2 linked regions of the Lepisosteus oculatus genome follow. The protein of the gene in region 2 purifies or fractionates together with the protein of the main gene of each other region. This does not show direct contact. Links are inferred from orthologs where the notes say so. Each region holds a gene or a part of one and is shown on either strand. Other genes may lie near its edges.

The links.
Region 1: the proteins of chd4b (region 2) and cbx1b purify together in Homo sapiens (affinity purification with mass spectrometry; 7 studies listed by BioGRID and IntAct, with this or other methods). This does not show direct contact. The link is inferred for Lepisosteus oculatus from reciprocal best matches to the Homo sapiens genes CHD4 and CBX1.

Annotation. Positions count from the first base shown.
Region 1 is NC_090723.1:9,004,561-9,015,172, reverse strand, and holds the start of cbx1b (chromobox protein homolog 1), read left to right. Parts: upstream 1-6,422; 5' UTR 6,423-6,670; intron 6,671-6,680; exon of another isoform or gene 6,681-7,221; intron 7,222-7,838; 5' UTR 7,839-8,023; intron 8,024-9,062; 5' UTR 9,063-9,122; coding exon 9,123-9,171; intron 9,172-10,612. Other genes in the region: sorting nexin-11, read right to left, coding at 181-279, 687-787, 3,097-3,183, 3,500-3,523. UniProt on the Homo sapiens protein: Component of heterochromatin. Recognizes and binds histone H3 tails methylated at 'Lys-9', leading to epigenetic repression. Interaction with lamin B receptor (LBR) can contribute to the association of the heterochromatin with the inner nuclear membrane.
Region 2 is NC_090718.1:3,156,060-3,166,924, reverse strand, and holds the start of chd4b (chromodomain-helicase-DNA-binding protein 4), read left to right. Parts: upstream 1-5,772; 5' UTR 5,773-7,014; coding exon 7,015-7,078; intron 7,079-10,865. UniProt on the Homo sapiens protein: ATP-dependent chromatin-remodeling factor that binds and distorts nucleosomal DNA. Acts as a component of the histone deacetylase NuRD complex which participates in the remodeling of chromatin.

The sequences.
Region 1 (10,612 bases), on a different chromosome or scaffold from region 2:
CTCTCCTGTGATTGGCCTCGCCCAGTTAATAATGCTCTCCCCCTGGTGACCTGACGGACTGTTTTTCGTGGATTATTATTACAGGACAAGCTCAACCCCTGCGTGGGGATTAGGCCCAGTCCGTCCCTCAGGGCGTCCCAGCAGGGGGAGCTCTGCTGACCGGTGCTGACCGACACTGACCTGTCCAGGAAGTGCTGCAGGCCCTGCCTCCTCTTCTCGATGAAGTCCTCGTCGCCGAGGGTGAAGAAGGGCGTTTTCACGGGCAGCTCGGGCACCGGCCTGTGGGCGGGAGGGGGTTAGGGAGAGCAGTGCCATGCAGGTGCCATCAGCCCCCTCGGACCTGGGTCGCGGCCCGTCCCGAGTCCAGTCAGAGCTCTGGGTCACCGGCCACCAGTGAAACCAGTTACAACCTCAAGTTCTCTTCAGCTTTGATTTCAGCTGGACTATTAAACATTTTTTTCCCCCACTACGGTAGGGAGTTTTGGCTTAGACATCACACATGATGTGCTGCGAGACAAAAAAGGTACATGAGAGACTCCTCTGCTCGAGTGATACACAAGTAATTCTAATTCCAACCACTACACAACCTCTACTCTACTCCTCCAACAGCTATAAATAATAGCACTAAATAGTGTTGCAACCACTACAACAGTGGCGCAGTCTGGCACACAGCCCTGAATACTCACACTAATCCGGCATTCTTCTGGAGTTTCTTCTTCAGCCACACAAACTCGCTGTATCGCCGGCGCACACAGGAGGTCTTGGCGGTGAAGGCCTTGCTGTTGGTCTGCGGAGATTAAGTCACAGTGAAGGGACGCTGATTTAGTGCCGAGTGAAATCTCTCTCTCCCTCTCTCTCTCTCTCCAGGGGCTGAGATCTCTTCAGTGGCCTCTGGGGCGGGTCCGTTTTGGCAAGGGGGGGAGGCACAGATGGGAGATCAGTGCTCTCTAGTCCTCGGCAGACACGCGTGTGGTGCATCTGGGCGTCGGAACACTCTTAGCAGCTGCCTGCTTGGTTTGCACGCCTTTAATTCCTCGGGCTGCAACTTGGATTGGCTGTCCGTCCCTCAGGAAAAGCCGGGCGACCCCATTTAAACAGGACAGAATGTCTTTGGACCACGGGAGAAAACTGGAGCCCCCAGAGAAAACCCACACAAACACAGGGAGAACAAGCACGCTCTCAGAATCGAACCTAGGACCCAAGAGCTGTGAGGCAGCTGCGCCAATAATTTTATAGAAATAATAATCATAGAGCAACACAGAAACTAAACAAGGCTCCTTCCCTTTTAAACTCCTTACAAGAGTTTAAAAGCAGCTCAACTGAGCCACACAACAGCTTTAAAATATTTAACGCTTTTTAACCCAGATGATACAGTACAAGTAGGAAACCAAACAATAAACAGGAGAGCCTGAGATCTGCAGGTTGCACTCTTTAGGAAGTGAAATGTCAGTGTCTGAACGGGGTTTACAGACGACCCACCAGTGAGTCTCGCAGTCGAAGCACCGTCTCTCACCAGCGACCACAAACCAGGCTGTGCACATCCTCCCTCGCTCCAGTCGCTGTTGCGTGCTCCAGCACAAATGTGCCTCTCTACAGACAGAACCGGCCCGCCAGCCTCTGCCCAGGCAAAAGAGTCTCCTCACTGAGCAAGTTCCTCTTGCTGAAGAAGCCATCAATTATTATCTAGGGAGAGCGGACGAGCTGCTGTTTGGAGGCAGCAGGAAGCGAGATGTGGAATCTGAGTTTTGTGGAAAGTCCCAAAGTTCCTTAGGACCGTAAGGTACTTCACATGGAAAAGTGCCCGTTTTAAAGGGAAGAGTGTCTGTCAAGCTACATATATTCTGATGTCGCAGCACAGCCTCTCTGTTGCTCACGAGGTGAAATTTGCTTGATTTCTGCCCTAAAGCGGAACCATCACTGCTTCCTGAGCGGGCTGACACTGGTCAGCACCCTGTGTAGTGTGAGAACAAGACAGGGCCGGCTTCCTTGCTGCTGTTTGATACGGGCTGCAGTTTAGGTCAGCTAGACTCTAGGTCATTGTGCCCACCCAGGGCACAGAGCAGTAGGTTTTCACAATCTCTTTGTATCACTGACCCTTTCAGAACAGGGAAAAGGCAGAGAAACTGGCGCAGATGGCTCTGGGCCTCTCAGAGCTGAGCTGGAGTAGACGCTTGCATTCGCAGTTGAAGGATTTTTTTAATTTATCTTTTATATAACACAGCGCTAATCTAAAAAATATTGCAATCATAACACTTCTGCCTATAATCTAAGCCCCAGTGACCTTGCATCTGTAAAAAGCTTGTGTTTAAAATGCTTCTTTTGTTAACAATATATTCTTGTGATTCTCACATAATGTGCACACTGCGGGCAGCTACAAATTCAGGTTTTGATCACAGGAAGGCAAGAGAGGGCTGTCACCCAGCTGCTGGAAACGGGGGCTGTGTGGGAGTGAGGATTGTAACTTCTCTAATCTGGCTGTAAAGAGAGCTCTGCCAAGGGAAACAGGGAGAGAAAGAAAAAGGAGACAAAAGCCTTTTGTTCCTCGCATGCTGCTGGATGGCGCCTGAACTGCAGCTGAAATGAAGGCCTGATCATCGCTTCTGCTCTGTAGCCCGGACTCTGATTCTTTCCCCGGTCTTCTGAAGAGGGGTTATCCTCACCCATCTGCCTCCACAGTGACACAGACCAATACTGCCCCAAGGGGTGAGTCTGCAGTGCTCCCATCCCTTTGAAAATAGCCTCTCCCACTGGGCTACTTTACTACCCAAGTTAAGAGGTTTAAAGCAAAGTCCAGATCACTGGATACTGCGAATTAAAGGAGAAAACGGTCTTAGGACCATTCCCCCTATTAACAGCTAATCCTTCCTCATGAAGGCCCGGTCAGGAGACAGCGATCCCCACACTCAGCCTGGAGCTGGCCTCAAGACATACTGACCCCTTCCAGTGCATCCAGTGACAGGACTCTGGCCAAACTACAGCGGCGTTTGTCTGCAGACTCACTTCTCCATGGAATTAAAGTTCTCGCAGGAGGTCCCAGCCGAGACACTTTAAACAGCGGAATTCAGACACGTCTGGAACTGTAGAGGCGGTACCTACGTGGAGGAATATTTTGAAGTCCACATAGGAGTTCCAGGATCCCTCGTTCTGTATTTTTGGATCCTGGACCCTCACAGCGATGAACTCCTGCACGGGAGACACAGCAGAGCGGAGAGGGAGGGGGCTTGGGTCAGGCAGCTTCCGATAAAAGTCAACTTTCCCCTTGAATACGGTCAAGAGAAATTGTTCAGACAAGTTGGAAGTGCTGATCAAGGTATGATCAATACTGCAGCAGACACAGGACACTCACGGACCAAGTAACAAGGACCAGGAAGATGAGGTGTGTGAAACAGCCAGCAAACACAAAGCAGTGCCTAAGGATGGAGAAGATGGGTGGAGCTTGGGCCCCTGACCTGGTCTAGCTGTACAGTTTCAGTTACCGGAAATAAAGACATTTTCTTACGTCTTCCTCCTGATTTCTGATCATTCTAATCCTTGGGCTCCTCCTTCAATATCATTGGGCAAAAACAGGCAGCAACATGGAGGTCACAGAATTCTGGGAAGAAAAGAAACACCCTGGGCTGAATCCTGAGATATCACAACGAGACAACCTGTCTTGACCTTAATGTTTCCTCTTATTGCTTTCTGAAACTGCTAACTTGCCCAAGATATCAATGTTTGCTGACACCTCTATTTCCAACTTGGGGAAGAGGAATTTAGATATTCATAACTCATAACAAAATATAATTGTATTTTTTCTAGGTTTCTTTTGGGTTTATTCTTTTTTTTTTTAAAAGAAACTTTTTTTTTCCTTCTGCACGACTTCTCCGGTAGGACTGATTCCCCCGATGGGAGAGATTCCCGCCGGACGCAGACCCAGACGGAAGAAGGTGTGAGGCAGACACCGTTCTCCTCTTCAGCACAGTCGCTGTGGTGCCACTCTGTCCTGCATCTGGCCTCTGTCTCAAAGACAACCTGTCCTCCACCGACCCCCACAGTGCAGAACCTTCTAGGCAGCCTGCCCTCACCAACACAGGCCCAGAACAATTCGACAAGGAGAAAAACCACAAGAAACAACTCTGCCGGAGTAAGTCCAAATGACTTTTCCCCCTTCTTTATCACACTGCTCGGTCTCTGTCAGAAAGGTCAGGACCAAATACGAAACACCCTGCATTTTTAACAGGTTGGTCCCACAGGGTTTCAAATATTTCATAATGAAGACTGTCGACTCTAGTTATACTCACAGTACGTTTCTTTAACTCGGTCTCCAACAGTGGCATTGCTCCCTACACTCTTTGACTCTGTGTGAGAGCTGGGAGACTGTGAATTCACATCTCTGCTCCTGTTCCCAGCTGGTCACTGTGCTGTGCAGTGTCACCTGCGCCTAGTGTCTTCTGCTAAAACACAGGCATGACAGGAAGGAGAGAGATTTACAGAGAACTATTATTATTATTATTATTATTATTATTATTATTATTATTATTATTATTATTTGTAGAGTAAAAATCCACCACAGACCTTGTTGTCGAGCAGAAGAGGAGTTTATTGTATATTTGGCCAAAGAGAGGAAGAATTAGGAAGATAGTTCTAACACGAAAAGTTACAGCTGACCTTTTATACACTTACTTGATAAAGAATACAAAGAGCTTAAGTCTCGAAAAGAAAAAAAATACTTCAATCTTAGTTAATTTCTATTTGTTATGCAAACTTCTACTTTAATCAGAAGTTGTCTACGTAATTAAGCTATCAGTGTTTTCTAAAAGCATGTAGTTACAATTGGCCTTCTTCACAAAAATAATTCCTTGGGATTTTTAAAACATGCTTTTTGTCGGCAGGCCCCTGGTCTTATCAACAGCAGATACATTTAATGTCGCAGCTGGTGCTTTGCTGAACATGCTGTCCAGAGAAAGACTTTTTAACCCTTCAATTATTATTATTATTATCATCATCATCATCATCATCGACGAGACGTTGAACAAGTACGAAAGAACAGACCTGACTCAGCATTGAGAATACCAGCACCTGTTATTGGACTTATTTGCACCTTAAAAACGGGGATGATTATTGAACCACAATATCAATGCCCTTCGACAAAACTAACGTACAAGCAAAGCAAAGATATCCCACAACAACAGCGCTCAAATGACCACGCGTGTTCATAGTGAGGAGCAGTTACAGTCACCAGTAAGAGGTTATTGCCACTGGTTACAGGAATAAGCTACAGAATACAAATTCCTCGTCTGTTTTTTTTTTTCTGAAAGTACGCTAAAGTACGTTATATCACAATGCTTTAATTGTGATTAGAAAAACCCCATACCTTCTGTTGAAGCTCCCTTGTTACTCACTGCCGTGGCCTGTCGTCAAAGTTGGAGACACGGAACTCTTCTGCTCTGTCCTTTCATGGGCGATGCGATTTGTTTTTCTCCGGCAGTGACGCGCGGTGGCTCCTTGGGAGTTGTAGTTTTCTCTACTTTTTATGCCTATTTAATGTTAGCGCTGTAGTGTCCTAGACAGGATGCAACTTCCATTCCGATTGGGACTTTGGGAACGTTAGCCACAGTCGCCGTCACGTTTACGTATACACAGCTCTCGTTCGTCTGTTTTTTGAAGACGTGCTGTCGATATAAAAAAGATCAGATGCAGACGTCGCGCTGCCGATGTTCTGGGTGCGAATTTATCGACCTCATTGACTTTACCACCGGCTTGCGAACAAAAGAAATGAGTGCTCTCAGCCTGCCAGTCCTGAATCACACCGACACTATCCAACCTCGGGGCAGCACAGCTAAAACACCCCAGATCAGAGTCAGCCCAATCGCAGTGCAAAGACCTCATCCCCTGGGGGGCGCACACACACAAACAGCACAACACAAACGTGACTTGATCCTAAAAGGACAGTGCACGCTGGACAGGTGAGTGACCACACGGTGAAACAGACCCTGACGGAGGCCAGCCTCAGTGTCCACAGCCTGCCCATAGAAACTGAGTGACACAGAGAGCATGAAAAACTGGAGACAGAGGTACACTTTCTGATACACTGGAAGAAATTACTCAATTCTGCCACAGGAAAAGACATAAAACCCACAAATTTCCGCACCTGCCAGAATCAGACCAACTTCCTATCCTACTTCAGGGGAGGGGAAACTCAATAGAGCTACAGTCCAGTATCTGATCTTCGGTCAGTGCCTGAGGGACAGAGTGGGCCTCTCGAGTAATATTATCTCATTGTCCTGAATGCTTGTCAATATTTACCAACGGTTATTGCTTTCGGAAGCATTGTATTTCGCCGGTCATGCCAATAAAGCTCTTTGAATTTGAAGAAGGGGGGAATGCCTTGTTAGAAAAATAAACTACACTTCCCGGCCCCCTTCACCTCCCAGGCCCGCCGGGGCGCCTGCGCAGTGCGTGGCGCGAGGTGGCGGGTCGATGAGGCTGTGGGTGCCTTTTGTGTCGAGAATAGAGGGAGAGAAAAACAGGGAGACGTGAATTTTGAACTTCTTATTTTAAAAAAATAATCGCAGGTTCTGCAGACACGTTGGGCCGGAGATAACGACGAGGGCCGAGTGGTTCAAAATCGCAGTAACTTTTTTTTTTTAATTCTCTTTTTACCCGAGCATCGCTTTTCTTCTGCTGAAAGGTAGGTTTGCGTTTTCTGCTCCTTGAGGCTGGCGCTGGTGCGTGCCCTAGCGACACACGGGAATTGCAGACGCACGGGGCTCATGCCTTCTGCAGGACCCGTGCAATTGTGTGTGCGAGTGCGTGACGCAGTTTCATCCCGTGGGTCGCTTGCCCACGGCTTTGTGCGGCCGGGGAGCCCTGCACGCCGCCTCCTCCCCCCCTCCCCTGCCAGCGCTGGGGTTTCTGTCGCGATCGGGGAGCAACATGGAGGAAGGAGGCGGGTAGCCAGCTAGAGCTGCACGGCGGACGGGCTGTAGCAACCCGAGCGCCTCAGCGCCCAGCCGCTCGGCAGACGCCCACCGCGGGCGGAGGGGAAGCGCGCACTTCGAGAGCGTAATGGCCTCCGTGCGCGGACAACATCGGGGTTTGCTCCCCGGGCGTCTGAGGGTTTCGAAACGGGGAGGGATTGCTCGAATTTGCTCGACTCCCCGCCCTCGCCCAGTCCCCTCTTCCTCCGATCTCGGTTCTGCCAGCCTGCAGCCAAGCCGGAGTTTGAGTTCGTGAGTCCCCGTGGGTGCTATATTTCTTCTTTTTTTGTTGTTCTTGCGAAGATCTGATTATGCAAGCCGGTGGCTTTATTTTGCACGGACTGCTAATTCAAATCGGGCTGCGCTCTGCTGAGCATTTAACGGCGCTTCGTAACCGCAGCGCTTGCGCGACAAGGATTCACCCTCCTGCCTCAGACCCGTCCTATTAAGTGCCGAGCAAAGCTTTTTTTTTTAAAGCAAACTTCTTTTCGCTAGATCGGTAAATTGCAGCGTAGGTGGGCTTTCTTAATTCTTAGTTTCGTGTACCAAGTTACTATTCAAAGCGCTGTAAGGTTATTTGGGATGCAAAGCGCTTCAGAATTGCAAGGATATTTTTGCAGTTGACAAGTGATCTGATTTCCAGTGCGCTTAAGAACCATAGTCATTATTATTTCAGCGCTCGATGGTATCGCTGGGCAGAAAGGTTTTTTGTGATGCTCGTAGTAGAGTGAAATAGTGTTATTGTGCTGCAGGAATTCTCACGCACTGTAACTAAAAGCATGTTTGACTGTCAGGTGAAAATGTACACGCCAGAGTCTCTCTCAGAGACTGATTTTCTGCATTTCTTAGTTCCGATGTGTTGTATTTCTGTCTCTTCAGTGCTGCGGCAGAGGTAGTTTTGTGGCACCGCGGTAAGTTAATCTGACACCTCCTGAAGCTGCCGGCTGGCCTTTGAGCCACAACACCAGTCTATTCATGTTGCATTCCGATGCCCTCAAGCTGTGAAAGACCTTTCTGAAAACCGCCTCTAACACAATCCTGCAGTTGTTTAATTGACGATACAGGTAGATATACTGGGAGCTGGGTCTGAGATGTGTGTCCTAATGTCTTGGCCAGAAGATAAGAGAGAGCTTCATTCTGGGCTGAAAGGAGACGCGAGGTTTTGGCTGACAGGGAGAAACGTTGTGTCTTTATTCTTTTCCTTTCAGCCCAGAATCAATCTTCACCTGTTCCTTAGTGGCCTGTGCATGTTGAGGCAGCTCCCCACTCGGAGGTCTGTGCCAAGAGCGTTTATTTCCTGGAGCCACCAGTAAACATTAAAGAATCAGAAAAGCAGCAGCCTTTTTCATCAGAACTGAGAGCCCAGCGGTGGTCTGGGCCTCTCAAACTGGGAAAGAGGGCTTGGTGCCCCAGTAGATACCCCGGGCAGCCATGGGTGTCCCCAGGGGGCCTGGGTGACTTTTAACTGGTCAAACCCGGTTGCCAAGGTGACATCAACTGGCCACTTTGGGTTAGTTTCCCTAGCGATTTTGCCCCGTTTTGGATGGTGGTGCAGTACCAGTTCATGGCCTGCCCTTGCGCTGGCAGGGAGGACTGGGCGAGGGGACCCCACACACCCCCTCTTCTTCCGGACCCCCGGCTGTGGGGGGGGCGCAGATGGGGCTCAGCTAGCCGACTGGGGTTCCCTGCGTGATGCTGAAAAACACACGCCCCTGCTTGCGCTGTCACCTGGAAAAAGATACCTTGCATCTGGGAGTCTCAAAGAGTGTGTGACTGTGATGATGATGATGATGATGATGAAGAGCTGAGCGCGTGTGCGTGCTGTCAGGCCAGGCGCTGCTGTGAGAACTGTTACGTTGCCGCACGGAAGCGAGGGAGACCCTTGGGGTGGGGCGCAGGGTGCCGACTCAGTCCTGCGGAGCCCCACCAGCGCGGGTTCTGTGCGCCCGGGTCTGGGGGGCTGCGCGGGCCCACCCTGCCCTGCCCTGTGGTCTCGCCCGCCTCCCTGCGGTGCCATGTGTTTTTTTTAAACCGCTGTGATTTCTTTTCGTGCTTCATGATCCCCCCTGCCCCCCCCCCCCCTCACTCTTTCACCCTGTTTAGCTTCTGTTGACGTTGAGAAGGATCCAGGTCGTTAGACAGACAGACTCTTCCTCCAGGAGTATGAGTCAGCCTTCAGCTCCCTGTAATGACGCTCCCACTAATAAAGCAGGTCACAGACACCTTTCTTCTATGCCAAGTCTACCAGTGTCTTGTCTTCTGAATGTGGGGGGGGCGGCCGGGGGGCTTTGGGAGGAGTAGCTGGAGTTTTTTTGAAAGGAGTACTGCTGTTCAGTTCAAAGCATTTTGGGACCATGTTTGCAAAAAGCTTTGCATGGGGAGCGTTCTGGCGCACTATGGCTGCCGTCGCATCATCCAGGTGGGGCTGCACACTGGTGGTGGTGGAGGGGATCCCCATTACCTGTAAAGCGCTTTGAGTGGAGTGTCCAGAAAAGCGCTATATAAGTGTAAGCAATTATTATTATTATTATTATTATTATTATTATTATGAGAAGTCGGGGGGAAGAAGGCTCTAGGGGACCTATCCTGCTCGAGGAGCAGACTGCATGGCCTGCTGGGCACTGCAGCTGGGGGTCTCAGGGGTTGGCCCTCCCCCCCCCCCCCGGCAGAGCTGAGGCAGCGATCCGCCCCAGAGGGACCTCCAGCATGATTCGGTCCACGCGCTCAGAGCCGCGGAGCCCTGGAGAGGCCAGAGGGAGTCTGGGATGTCCCCGCTGTCGGGTCGGGGTGTGTGGCTGACCCTGCGTCGCCTGGCCGCGGCCCAGCTCGGGCACGGGGGGGAGGGGGTGTTTTCAACTGAAACTGCGTGCAGAACTACTCCTTTGAAGAGAACAGCTACAGTGGCCCGAGCACAAAACTCGTGAAAGAGCCATTTCTATTTCTCTCCTTGTTGTTTTCGTGCTTTGTTCTGTATGGGAAGGTGCGAGGCATTGTTATAAATGTGTGGCTGTACTGACTTTTTTGTGTTCGTACCGCTTGAGAACTTGGTCTCCGATGGCTTTTTGTTCCTTTCCGAGTAGCAGGCTATGAGATCCAGTGCGCAGGGCCTTCCCCTGCCAGCTCCCTAGAGCTGGCCCTCTCGAATGAGAGCCCTGTGCTCCCCGTTGTGCTAAAGCAAGCAGCTGGAAACCACATGGTGGAAGTGGGGGAGTCCTGCTTAGTGGTGCATGTTCACCAGACCAGTTGCACTGCTGGCGATAATTACACATCCCTCCCCCTCCAGACTCCACTGTGCAGGCAGCCCTGGGCCTCCGGTGGCCTCCCTGGTTAAGGTGTGTGCGTGTTAGGATGGCTCTTGCTTCTTAGCTGCCAGGCGCCAGACAAGCCAGTGCAGATCAGTTCGGAAGAAGCATGGCGCCTGGACCCGACCGCCCCTGCAGAATTCCCCTCCTGCGCTTCAGAGCCTCGTTCAGCGTCTCTGCTGTCGGTTGGTTTTTTCGACCAGCGCTGTGTGCTGGCGCCTCTGCACACGGACCTGACTGCGCCCTGCGGGGCGGCACAGGGCAGGGTCCGGCACTCCGGGCGGAGAGACGCAGAGAGCCATCTGGGGACAGGGGGCATGGGTGTCATGCCAGCTGGCCTCCTGACCCCCC
Region 2 (10,865 bases):
GAGGGGTGGCGGGGAGGGGGGGAAGGTTGTGGTTGGTGCAGACTATTATGGGCTGGCCGGCTGACCTCATTACAAGAGCGTTGCCCTTGGTAACTGCGGACGTCTGGGGAGTATTATGAGATGGGAGTCATTCTGGAAATGACTCCTCCCTGTCTCTCTTTGCATATGGGGGAGGGGGGCAGAGGGATAGGGAGAGAGAGAGAGTGAGGCCTGTTCTGTGTGTGAAATGTTCCTGCGACAGCACTGGTTCAGATCTCACCTCCGCTGGTAGTTCTCCAAGCAGGCTGGGGTCCTAACTTCGGCACTGGTGCTCAGAAACACAGGGTTTCACCAACATCATTGCACATCACTCTCCCTAGGCTCTGTCTCTGCTTGTGAAATCCCTTTTTTAAAGGTTCATACCTGGAAAGTTTCTAGAGCTGAAATTGCACCGAATCTTCAGTGAACCATATTAAATGAGAGTCAAGAGAGGAATTTGACCTTTTACAGGGTTTCATTTCCCGGAAGAAGAAAACACACAAAGCCAATAGTCCCAGCAGACAGAACTCCTGTGAATCTTTTGTTTTAATTTTCTCTTTTACATCGCAGACCCTTTGTTTATTTCACTTCTAGATCCAAGCATCTCTCCTGGGCCGTTCTTGAAGGAACCCGAGAATCTTTCTCAGGAAGCCTCAGGAGCTTGTGCCAGACACCCACAACCCTTGGTGCACAGAAATGGCCTTGTTCCACCATTGAAGCCGGCGTTCATACCTTTTGCGGTTTTAAAATCTTCAGTTAGGTCCCCTCTGAGTCTTCTTTTTCACAGCCTGAGGAGGTTCTGTTCATAAATGATGAGAAGTTCCTTGCTTATGTACAGTATATAATGCTTTTCCTCGCAAAGCTCTTTACGGACGGGAGAAGACACACTTCACCCAGCACTGAGGTACAGTACCCACGTAAGAGCATCCCAGCGGCGCCACTTTACAGCAGATCAGCTGGGGGAGTGAGAAACTGGCTTCACAAGTTGATTTAAGGGGGTGCTGTAGAGAGGCCAGATCATTCAAGCCCAGAATTAAATTTAGCCAGAACATCCAGGGTAACACCCCTGCTCTGAAGAACCAGGGCTGTGGTTTTATCACATCCAGATACGGACACACATTACAAGCAGATAAGTGGAGAGAACAGAGACAGAGAGGGAGAGAAATTCCTGCAGAACCACAACTGGGTACATTCCGGGAATTGAAGGAGTGTCCTACACTGACAGGCAAGAAGATCCGAATCTTTCTGTGCTTCGAACGGAGGTGAGCTGATTCAAACAGTATCAAAAAAGTGCTCAAAGGCACTGCCAAAGTGAAACCAGAGGAATCAACAGCGAAAAACACCAACCGGAGGGGCACACAAAGTGGAAACACAGGGGCATTGCATTACAAAAAAGGTGCAGAGGACTGGACTTTACACAAAGGGTTGTGGGGGTGTGGAACAAACATGGGGCTGAAGCCAATAAGAGCATGAGCTCTTGGATCAGATAAGGCTATTACCAGATGGGACAGATGGGCACACTTACCACTCACTGTCAAGCTTCCTTACATTCTGAGCAAAGAGAGACGGACAGAATCTCAAAGGTTCAGACAGAAAGCGATGAATGGAGAGACAATGTGGGAACAGAGGCAGATATAGACAAGAAGATAGACAGAATGGGACAGACAGACACACCGACTGATGTACAGTACCATCCTGGACCATTAACAGTCTCACAGACAACTCAATAGATTGACATGAATGTAGAATCTCAGAAAGACAGGTGAGAGGAAGTAACTATCACTGTTCGAAGAGGAGAGACAGAGAAACTTTATACACCTCTACAGTAAAAATACATGTAGTGTAAGAATTGCTGCATCATTTTCATACTTAGCATAATTGTGTGACGCACACACCCCCACGTTCCTCTTTTGACTCCATCAGTCACTTAGCAGCGCTCCAACTATTATGGGATGCGTTTGGGTCCTGGCTTATTATGGGATGGCCTTTGTCTGGTCACACCCAGCAGAGCGGGCTTATTATGGGATGCGGTGTGCACGCGCGAGAGTGTGTGTGTGTGTGCGTGCGCGCGCGCGTGAGTGTGTGTGAGCCGCAGCAGTAGCAGTAGTGGGAGACCGGCGTTCCAGTGTGCAGTGCTGATGTCACCCTCCAGCAGAGGAAAGCACAGCCCTCCCCTGTACAGAAACGGCTCAGATCCCTGACCTGCCCGGTTCTGCATAGTTTTTACCCTGTCAGCCAACAGCATAGCCTGCTGTGATTTCTCTCATTGTTTTATTATATTGAACAAACTTTTTAACCCTGCATGATGATTATTTACTTTAAACCCATTGTATAGCCCCGCGTATATTATTATTATTATTAATGTATTATTATTTCAAACATTTTTTAATTCGGTCAGATATATTAGATATTTGTAGAACCCTCCCTAACAGTTCTTATTCTTATTCTTATTCAACAGCCTCTGAACTGCTTTATCCAGAATTACAGGGAGCTGGAGCCTCAATGAGCAAGTCATGGGCAAAAAGAAGGATACGCCATTAATGGGACACCAATTCTGTGTTTTATTATTATTATTATAATAATACACTGGAAGAAGGCCCCACAGACGAAACATTGTGTTTCCTTTCTTCTCTTTTCAGCCTGGAGTAAACCTGTTACCTGTTCCTTTGCAGTCTACGCATGGTGACGCAGCTCCCTACTTGTACTTATTATTATTATTATTATTATTATTATTATTATTATTATTATTATGATATTAAAACCAACAGTGCAGCCCTGTAGGATGGGGGTGAGTTTTCTTTGAGCTCAGGTGGCGGAGCAGCGGGAAGACAGGACAGCCTGACAGACGGGCCGCCTGCTCAGACTCCGCCGCAGAGGCAGCGGGACAGCGGGACAGCGGCACCAAGCGCAGGACCCGGCAGGGGAGAGCTCGGGCCCGCAAGCTCTTGAGGTTCTTTCGAAAGCTGTGAAAATGTCCCATTTTCCACTCCCTCGGGGGTGGGGAGGGTAGAAGGTGCTTTTGAAATTCCAACGGCTCCGGGTGATCACCGTTCCCTTGCCCCACTGGACGCCGGCCACATTCCCAGTCTGCGGACCTGCAGCCGGGGGCCCTGAGAGTCTCTGGATGAAAGGTGCCCCCCCTGGACCGGATTACCGGGAGATTTCCTGGATGGGGATCGGGGTCCAGGAGAGCCGGCGTCCGCTCAGATGTGGACTGGTCAGAGCTCTTTAGCGTGTGACGTCAATGTGGACAGCTTCTGCAGCCACCAGCGCAGCTCTGCACATTCTGCCCTGTCTCCCAGAGAGGCTGCTGACTTTCTGCCTGTCTGCGCCAGTGGCCGTCGGACCGCAGAGAGCAGTGCGCTTTGGGGAAAACGGTGTCTGTTTGCTTAGCCGTACAGACACAGACCCACACTGTATACACACACACAGACGCTCTCTCTGGAACTGTGTTGGTGTGGGTGGTGTGTGAGCAGACCGGTTATTATGGGATGTGTGGGGGGGGGGGGGAGAGGGAGGGCAGGGCCGGACTATTATGGGCTGTGCGCGGAGCTGGAGGGAGGGGGGAGGGGGAGCTGGGAAATTATGGGATGTGTGCGGGCAGCCTCTGTGTCCCACAGGCTGCTGGCCGAGGAGGGTTGGCGGGGGGGGGGTGGAGGGGGAGGTGGGGGAGGTTGAGAGGGAGAATTTGAAGGGCGGGAAGAGAGGCCCCCCAGGGTCATTAGAGGAACGCATCCTGAGAAAGAGTTCGCACTGCTTCGGGCCTCTCTCTGCTCGTCTGCGGCCGCGCGCAGTGCGAGCGCCGCTCCAGCTGCTCGCTGTTGTCAGGTGCAGCACCTCCCCCGAATCCAGAACATTCTGATTGCAGGTTTCACGGAAGGCACCCCAGAACCCCGTCGATCCTGGTGATGGGGGATCGGGCGTACCACACGTGTTCACGGAGCACCTAGACTCACAGAACATTCCTGGGACATTCCTGGACGAGGCACGTGCACGCCGGGTCGAATGGGGCCAGGGATTGAAAGAAATAAAAAGAAAGTATTGTACAGCACAAAAAAAAACACTCCGCAGTCGGGAGTGTCACTCGGCTGGGGAAGGAGTGAGCGACGGTCAGGGCATCGCCCATTCTGGGAGCGTGTCAGTGCGTTGGCCCACTGCAGGCCAGCTTCCACATCCCACGGCTCTGCGAGACACCACCACCGTAGTGGACAATAAAGTATCTTCTCCTGCACAGGTCTCGGGTCCCGGGATGGCAGGTTTACCCACTGGCCAACCGTGGTCTAATGTGATCTTACGGGTTTCGCATTGCTGAAAATGCTGTATTCCACCACTGTCTATCACACTTTTTCGAGCTGTAAGCAAAGGCGATTGTGAAATAACTTTATTGCTACATTATGCATTCCCAGTGCTGTGCTGTACTGTACTCACTGCGTAACAGTACTGTTCTGCTCTGTTACAGTATGCAGAGTGTACAGTATCAAACAATAATAGCTTTGCCTAATGCTGTGCCTGAATTTAATTTGTGTTTTGAGCTATTTTTGGCAGAGAATTTGCATGTAATTGTCTGAAACAATGTCTGCGTGCGACTGTCTGTTTCTGGTTTTCTGCCTGTGTGTTCCTCAGCCTGTCCGCCTCTGTTTCTATGTGTTCATGCATGTCCTGTGGGTGTTTCACTCGGCCTGTTTATATCAGTACACCAGGTGCGTATAAGCCCCTCTGTGAAGGTTAGAGCAGGGAAGGTGGAATTAACCTCTTCTTGTGCCTGTCTCTCTGTCTGCCTGTCTGTGTTTCTTGATGTCAGTCTGTGGCTTTGCATCTGTTGGTCCATCTGTCTGCTGTAGTCTCCTTAGCCACTATCCTCCCTGTATCCCCTGGCGATGCTCTCTCAGGATTTTCAGCTGTCAGGGTGAATATTATGGGCTGTCCAGTGAGGTGGGAGGTTGTCAGGTGCTAATTATGGTCTGTCAGTCAGCTTCCATGGCAACCGGGTAGCACATCAGTCATCCTAACATGTCCCCCTCAAGTACACACACACTTTAGCACCCATGCCTATGGTTTATTATTATGGGGTGTAGTTGGGTCTGGATGTTACTATTAGTATTATGGGATATCTAAAGGGGGGAAGGTAATGAGGGGGGGGGGTTGCTTCCATGACAACCAACCCTCCCCCTCACTTTTCTCTCTCCTGATTGGTCATTATGGGATGACACCCCCCCTGTAAAAAAATCTCTATAGCAACAAAGAGAGAGAGGAATGGAGTCTAGTCTGTGTTGTTGTTATTATTACACAGTACTGCCATATGAAATTAAGCAGCCCGGGCACAAAGAGTAGGTAATGCCACATGCCCACAAGCACAGAAAGGGAGCAGACTCAAACACAGCAGCACTGCAGAGTGGTAGATTTTAGGCCTTGTGTCTCTTGTGAGGCCTAACTCAGGCTTGTACTGTTTATGTCATGGGGACACTGGATGTTTTGACTGTGCCTGTGTTTGGAGGTGGAGATTATCTGAACATGTGAGACCTCTGTTTTGCGATGAGCAGGTATGGGGACATGAGCACAGCTCTACAGCACACTGACAGTGCTCTGTACACACCGACTGACACCCTGTCAGGCTGTCGCTGGGACCTCACAATGTCAGGGGTCTCTATGGAAACCAGCAGACTGTAAGGCTGTGCAAACTCCGTGTGTGTGCGCACAGTCTGCATGAGAGCAGCGTGCACACGTGTGTGCCGTCTGAATCGGCCTGTGTAGCTGGTGTGTGCCGAGCATGTACAGTGCGTGTGCACACATTGTACAGTAGGAGAGTATTATGGCCTGTCATTTGTGGCCTGGGTTGCCTGGGCGACCAGGCGACTGATAATTTTTTGGAGATATGCATATTATGGGATGGGTGATCCGCGAAGTGGAGCCCGGGTATTATGGGATGGCCGTCGGCACGGAAGGGGGGGGGCGCGACCGTCTCCACGGCAACGGCGGTTGCTAGGGGCCGGAAGAGCCCAGGGGGTGTCTTGCGTGCGTGTGTATATACATGGGATGGAGTATTATGGTCTGTCCGTTGCTGGGGTAACTGCGTGTGGAGTGTTAGTGTGTATTATAGAGTGGGGGGGGGGGGGTGTACAGGATTATTATTATGGGATGCCTGCCTCTCTCTCGCTTTTCGGTTTGCCCCGGTCTCTTTGTGTGTGTGAGAGGGAGAGGGCGAGTGTGTGCGGATGACTGTGCGGCCGGACTGGACCAGACATTTTGTCGTGCCCGAAATACCCACGGAAATCAGTCGCCTCTTCGAAGAAGCTGTCTTCGCTCCTGAGCCGGCAAGGAAATCGTTGTTGAACTCCCCTCGTGTAATCGCTCTTTTTGTTTGGGGTTACTCGTAACCTGGCACAACTCGGGATTATACAACCCTCCTGAGTCGGACATTTCTACTCCGACACGTCGGTTGTCTTCTTTGTATAAAGGGGGGGACATTCAAGAGGAGACCGCTGAACGCCAACTTTGACCCTTTTATCCGGAATACTTATTATTTTGTATGCAACTCCCAGCTCACTTTACTTCGCTGCCGGCCACTTTCCAGAAGCCGGTATAGTACTAGTATTGCAGTTTAGACATCTAACTGAAAACATCGACAGTTTTTCTTTTCCGGAGAGTTTATATCCTTTTAACGTTGAGTTTGGCGGCGCCCCCCCCCCCTGGTTTCAGTAGTGTGTGTGTGAGGAGCATCGATTCTAGTTTGGGATACAAACTCGGTCCTTCTCGCTGGTATTGCCGGTAGCGGAGAAATTTCTACGAAGACCGGGTTTATGCACTGTGTGACTCTTTTTCTCGTAAAATAACAAAGAAGGGCTTTTTCATCATCGGCTCGTCGGCTCCCTCCAACCCCCTCCAACCATTACCACCCCCTCCCTCGATAATTCCCTCCCCGGTACCGACACACACACACATACACACACACACAAACTCACTTTCAGATATATTTATAGGAAAACCATTTAGCACAAAATGTCCGGGAGTGAAGACGAGGGACAGGATTTCGGAAGCTTGGACGACCGCTCGCTTTTGCAAGGTAACTGAAATATTTTGGCTGTACTCGCATGTCTAACCTAACGCAGCACACGTGAAATGGAGCTGTCTTTACAGAGTATTTAAAGATAGTGCACTAGACTAGTCTTTTTTAGACTCGATCGTCTATTTTGGGAGTTATGTTACCGCTTCAAACATTTTAACCGAGGACAGGAGCGTCTCGTTCTTTAATTTCCTTTTTGGGGGGGTTGGTGAGTGGGTGACGGGGGCCTGCGTGTCTGCGTTTGTCATCGGTATTTGTTTTTTTAGGTCTGCGTTTTAATACGTTCTTTTATCGTGGGATGTGCGTTTTACTGTCTTTTTTTTTAAAAAAAAGAGAGAAAACTGGATCGCAAAAGTTTGTACATTGAGTGATGGAACAAAATGCCACCCGGATGCATTAAAACATCTCGTTCAGATTTTCCTGGGCTAGTTATTTTATAGTCTCGCTCGTGTTTGTGTGTTTATATATGTGTGCGTGTGTTTGCAGTGATAATTTGTACTTGTTTGTTGTTACGGCTGAAGAATTGCACTGTAAATAGGAAATGCCGGTTTGCAATTGAACCGGCATTTTTTAGACTAGGGGCCTACTGTGTCTTCACGTGTGGGAGTCGGTTAACAGGGAACAGAGTTTTTTTTAATGAATTTCCTGATTTTTGCAAAAATGTAATCGGCCTGAAAATACCGAATTGCCCAAAACTGATGTAAGAACTTTATCGTTTTATTTTGTAATCCCCCTTTATGTAGTCAGCAGTGTGTGTGAGCACACCGGAAGAAGGATACATGGAAAATTTGCTCTTAAACCACCTTATCCGATTTTGTGGATTTTAAGTATCCTTTCTGCGTAAGTCAAGGATTAAAAAAAAAAGTCTTTGAAATAAAATGTTAATATCTGGGAAGCGTTACGTAATTGTCAAGAGTTCCTGTTTCGCTCGCTGTGGATCTCGTCTTAAAGTGAAACAACTAAGAACAAAATCTTGCATATCATGAGCGAATAGGGTGTGAGGATTGAGAAAATACGTTTAGAGTAACTATTCTAACATACTCGAACAGTTTTTGTAGCACTAGTTGGGCAGTTGGGTCTTCTCTCCGTATTTATTACGTGAAAGCCGGTGTGCCAGCAAGCAGGCTGGGGACCGCGGCCTGCTTATTTCCTGTCGCCGACAGAAGCCTGACTCCTACGGAAGTCTGTTTTTAAAAAAAAAATCATAAAGGGAAATTTCTTTTTACTGGGTAGTACCTTGAGAACTTAAATTTAACTTGTTTTGAGGGTACGCATTACAGAAAGAGAAAATATAGGTCATGTTTTATTAAGTTTATTTTTATATGTTCGCACGGTAACTTAGTTTTTATTTTAGGTTTAGATTTAGGTCTAATCGGATTTATCAGACGTGAAATAAAGTAGCAGGTTTAGTTATTGGTAGAGCTGTAACAGAGGTCGGCTCAGTTCATGATACATTCTTTAAAAAAGTACATTTAAAATCAGTCTAGTATTCTGACTATGGATTTGTATGCCTATGATACTTGTAGTCCCCTCTTAATAAAAGTCCACTTTTGTCTGGAGTTGATTTCTGATCTAAAGCTAGCTCACTTATTCTGGCTTTTTTCACTTGAAATTGCTTAATATACAATACACTTAATACACCTATTGTGATGTACTTTGACTTGAAGTTATCTCCTCCAACCCCCCCTCCCCCAGTACATGTACTGTACCTTCATTTTGTAATATGATGAACTATAAGAAAGTAACAGCCCAGCTGAATAATCTGGTTCTATTGTATTTTTGCTCTAGCTTCTTAATGACAGTTCTTGAGCTTTTAAATATATTCCCTCTTATAAGTGACCTCTTCTGTTGTGCATATGCTGGTCTCTAATCAATGTGTAGTTTGCCCTCACTTCTGCAGTAGTCTTGTATTACAGGAGCAATTACGCACCACTTTCCCCACCGCTGCCTGTTGTAAAATAGCCTCACTTCTGTGCTTTAAACCGAGTGGGACAGAGGTGAGAATCCCAGGCTCATTATGACGTGTCCAGTCACCCCCTTGAAATCCTGTACTGCACCTCTGCTTGCGAAGGATGGGGGAGTGTCCACAGGGCACCGGGTTGCCTGATATCGAAATGGCGTTGCTTGGCTGTGAAGGGCAGGAGTGGGGGCGGCCGGTGGCTGGATCGGAGGGCTCGGGACCAGGAAGTCCCTGGCTCGGCCGCGGCGGCGGCGGCGGCTCTCCCGTCGTGTCACCCCGAGCAGGCTCCGGGGCGTCCTTGCGCGCCGTCCTTGAGCCGAGGTGGAAAGCGGATCTCGATATCCATGACTCTGCAGCCTCACTTGTTGATGTGCTGTGCTGTGCACCCCCCCTTCTTGTCTCCTCTTGCGAGGCGCCGTGTGCTGTGTGCGTTTTCTCCCCTTGCGCGATTCAGTGTGACACAGGGCCAAACTCGGAGCCACCGGCGACGCATCCATAGGGTTAAGGGAGCCTGGGCCTTGCGTGAGTCACTCGAAGCCCGATGTGCTAATGCAGATGGCTGCTTATACCACAGGGTAAAGAAATGTTGCAGGAAAGCTGGGCACCGTCACTGAGTGTGTGGGGGTGGGGGGTGGGAGATGCTCCTCTTAACAATAGATTAAATGCGCTTGATGGAATCCTGGATAATTAGATCTCGGATTAAATCGAAACTTAAATCTGAGGACGGGCGCACCCTGGCTGATAAATCCTGATTCCGTCCTTCTTTGTGGATATTCACGGGGGGGATAGACAAGAACCTCTCGGCTAATTGAAACCCGCCATCTAGTGTCCGGGTTTGGGATTAGGGAGGGTGGGTCAGAAGGTAGCACTCGCCCACGGCTCTGGTGTCTCTGGGTGGGGGAGGGGGGAGCCGCGCAGCGTCTTGGAGCAGACATGGCGACGGGGCTGAGGGCGTATGAAGGAATGAAGTGGTGTTTACAGTGCGGCGGGGCTGCTGTGTATACAGAAGAGCCCGCAGCAGCCATCATGTTTACAGTACATGGAGCAGCAGCAGCCCGTGCGGAGGGGCTGTGGGGGCGCTGTCGGGGAATCTGCGCTCGGGCGGCTTGCTTGGTTGAACCCAGCGGTCCGCAGGCTGGGCAGTGCCAATATCTGAGCACGGACGGGCTTCCCCAGATTGGGGGTTGGCCAGGTTAGAGCTGGCCAAGGTTTTCCTCTGCTGCCACCTGTGTTTTGGGGGTCACTACCAGAAGTAGTAGGGCTGTCTGGGAGATCGATGTCCTCCGGCTGGCACTGTCGGGCTTGCGGTGCGGGGACGATCATGAGCGTTTTGGGTAACTGGTGCCCCTAATTAAAGCCCCCCACCTCAGTCTGCACCTGTATGGCAGCTTCCTAGTTCAATCCTGGCAGTTGTGAAGGGGGTGGGCCAGTTGGGTAGCCTTACGTTTGCAGCTTAGCTGCCATTCTCTCTGCCAGGCCAAATTTTCGTCTTCCAAAGCAGCGATGTTTTCAAATAAGGAGCATCTGAAATCTACCAGGATCACTAGCAATGAGATGTAGTTTTGGTAATGTGTCTTGAAGGTCTGTACTTACCCAGCTAGACTGGTAGCCTGGCATTGTTAGATCTGGGAAGTTAAGCACGGCTGTGCCTCGTCAATACTGCAGTGGGAGATCTCCAATGGAGAACTTGGAAGTGGTGTCGGATGCTGCCTCTGAGGGGCTGATCGACATGGAATTTCCTGTCCTGGGCAGAGGTTTTAGGGGGCTTTAATGAAGTGAGAAGTTCAGTGATGACCTTGATGTAACAGAGATGATTTTCACCTTTCT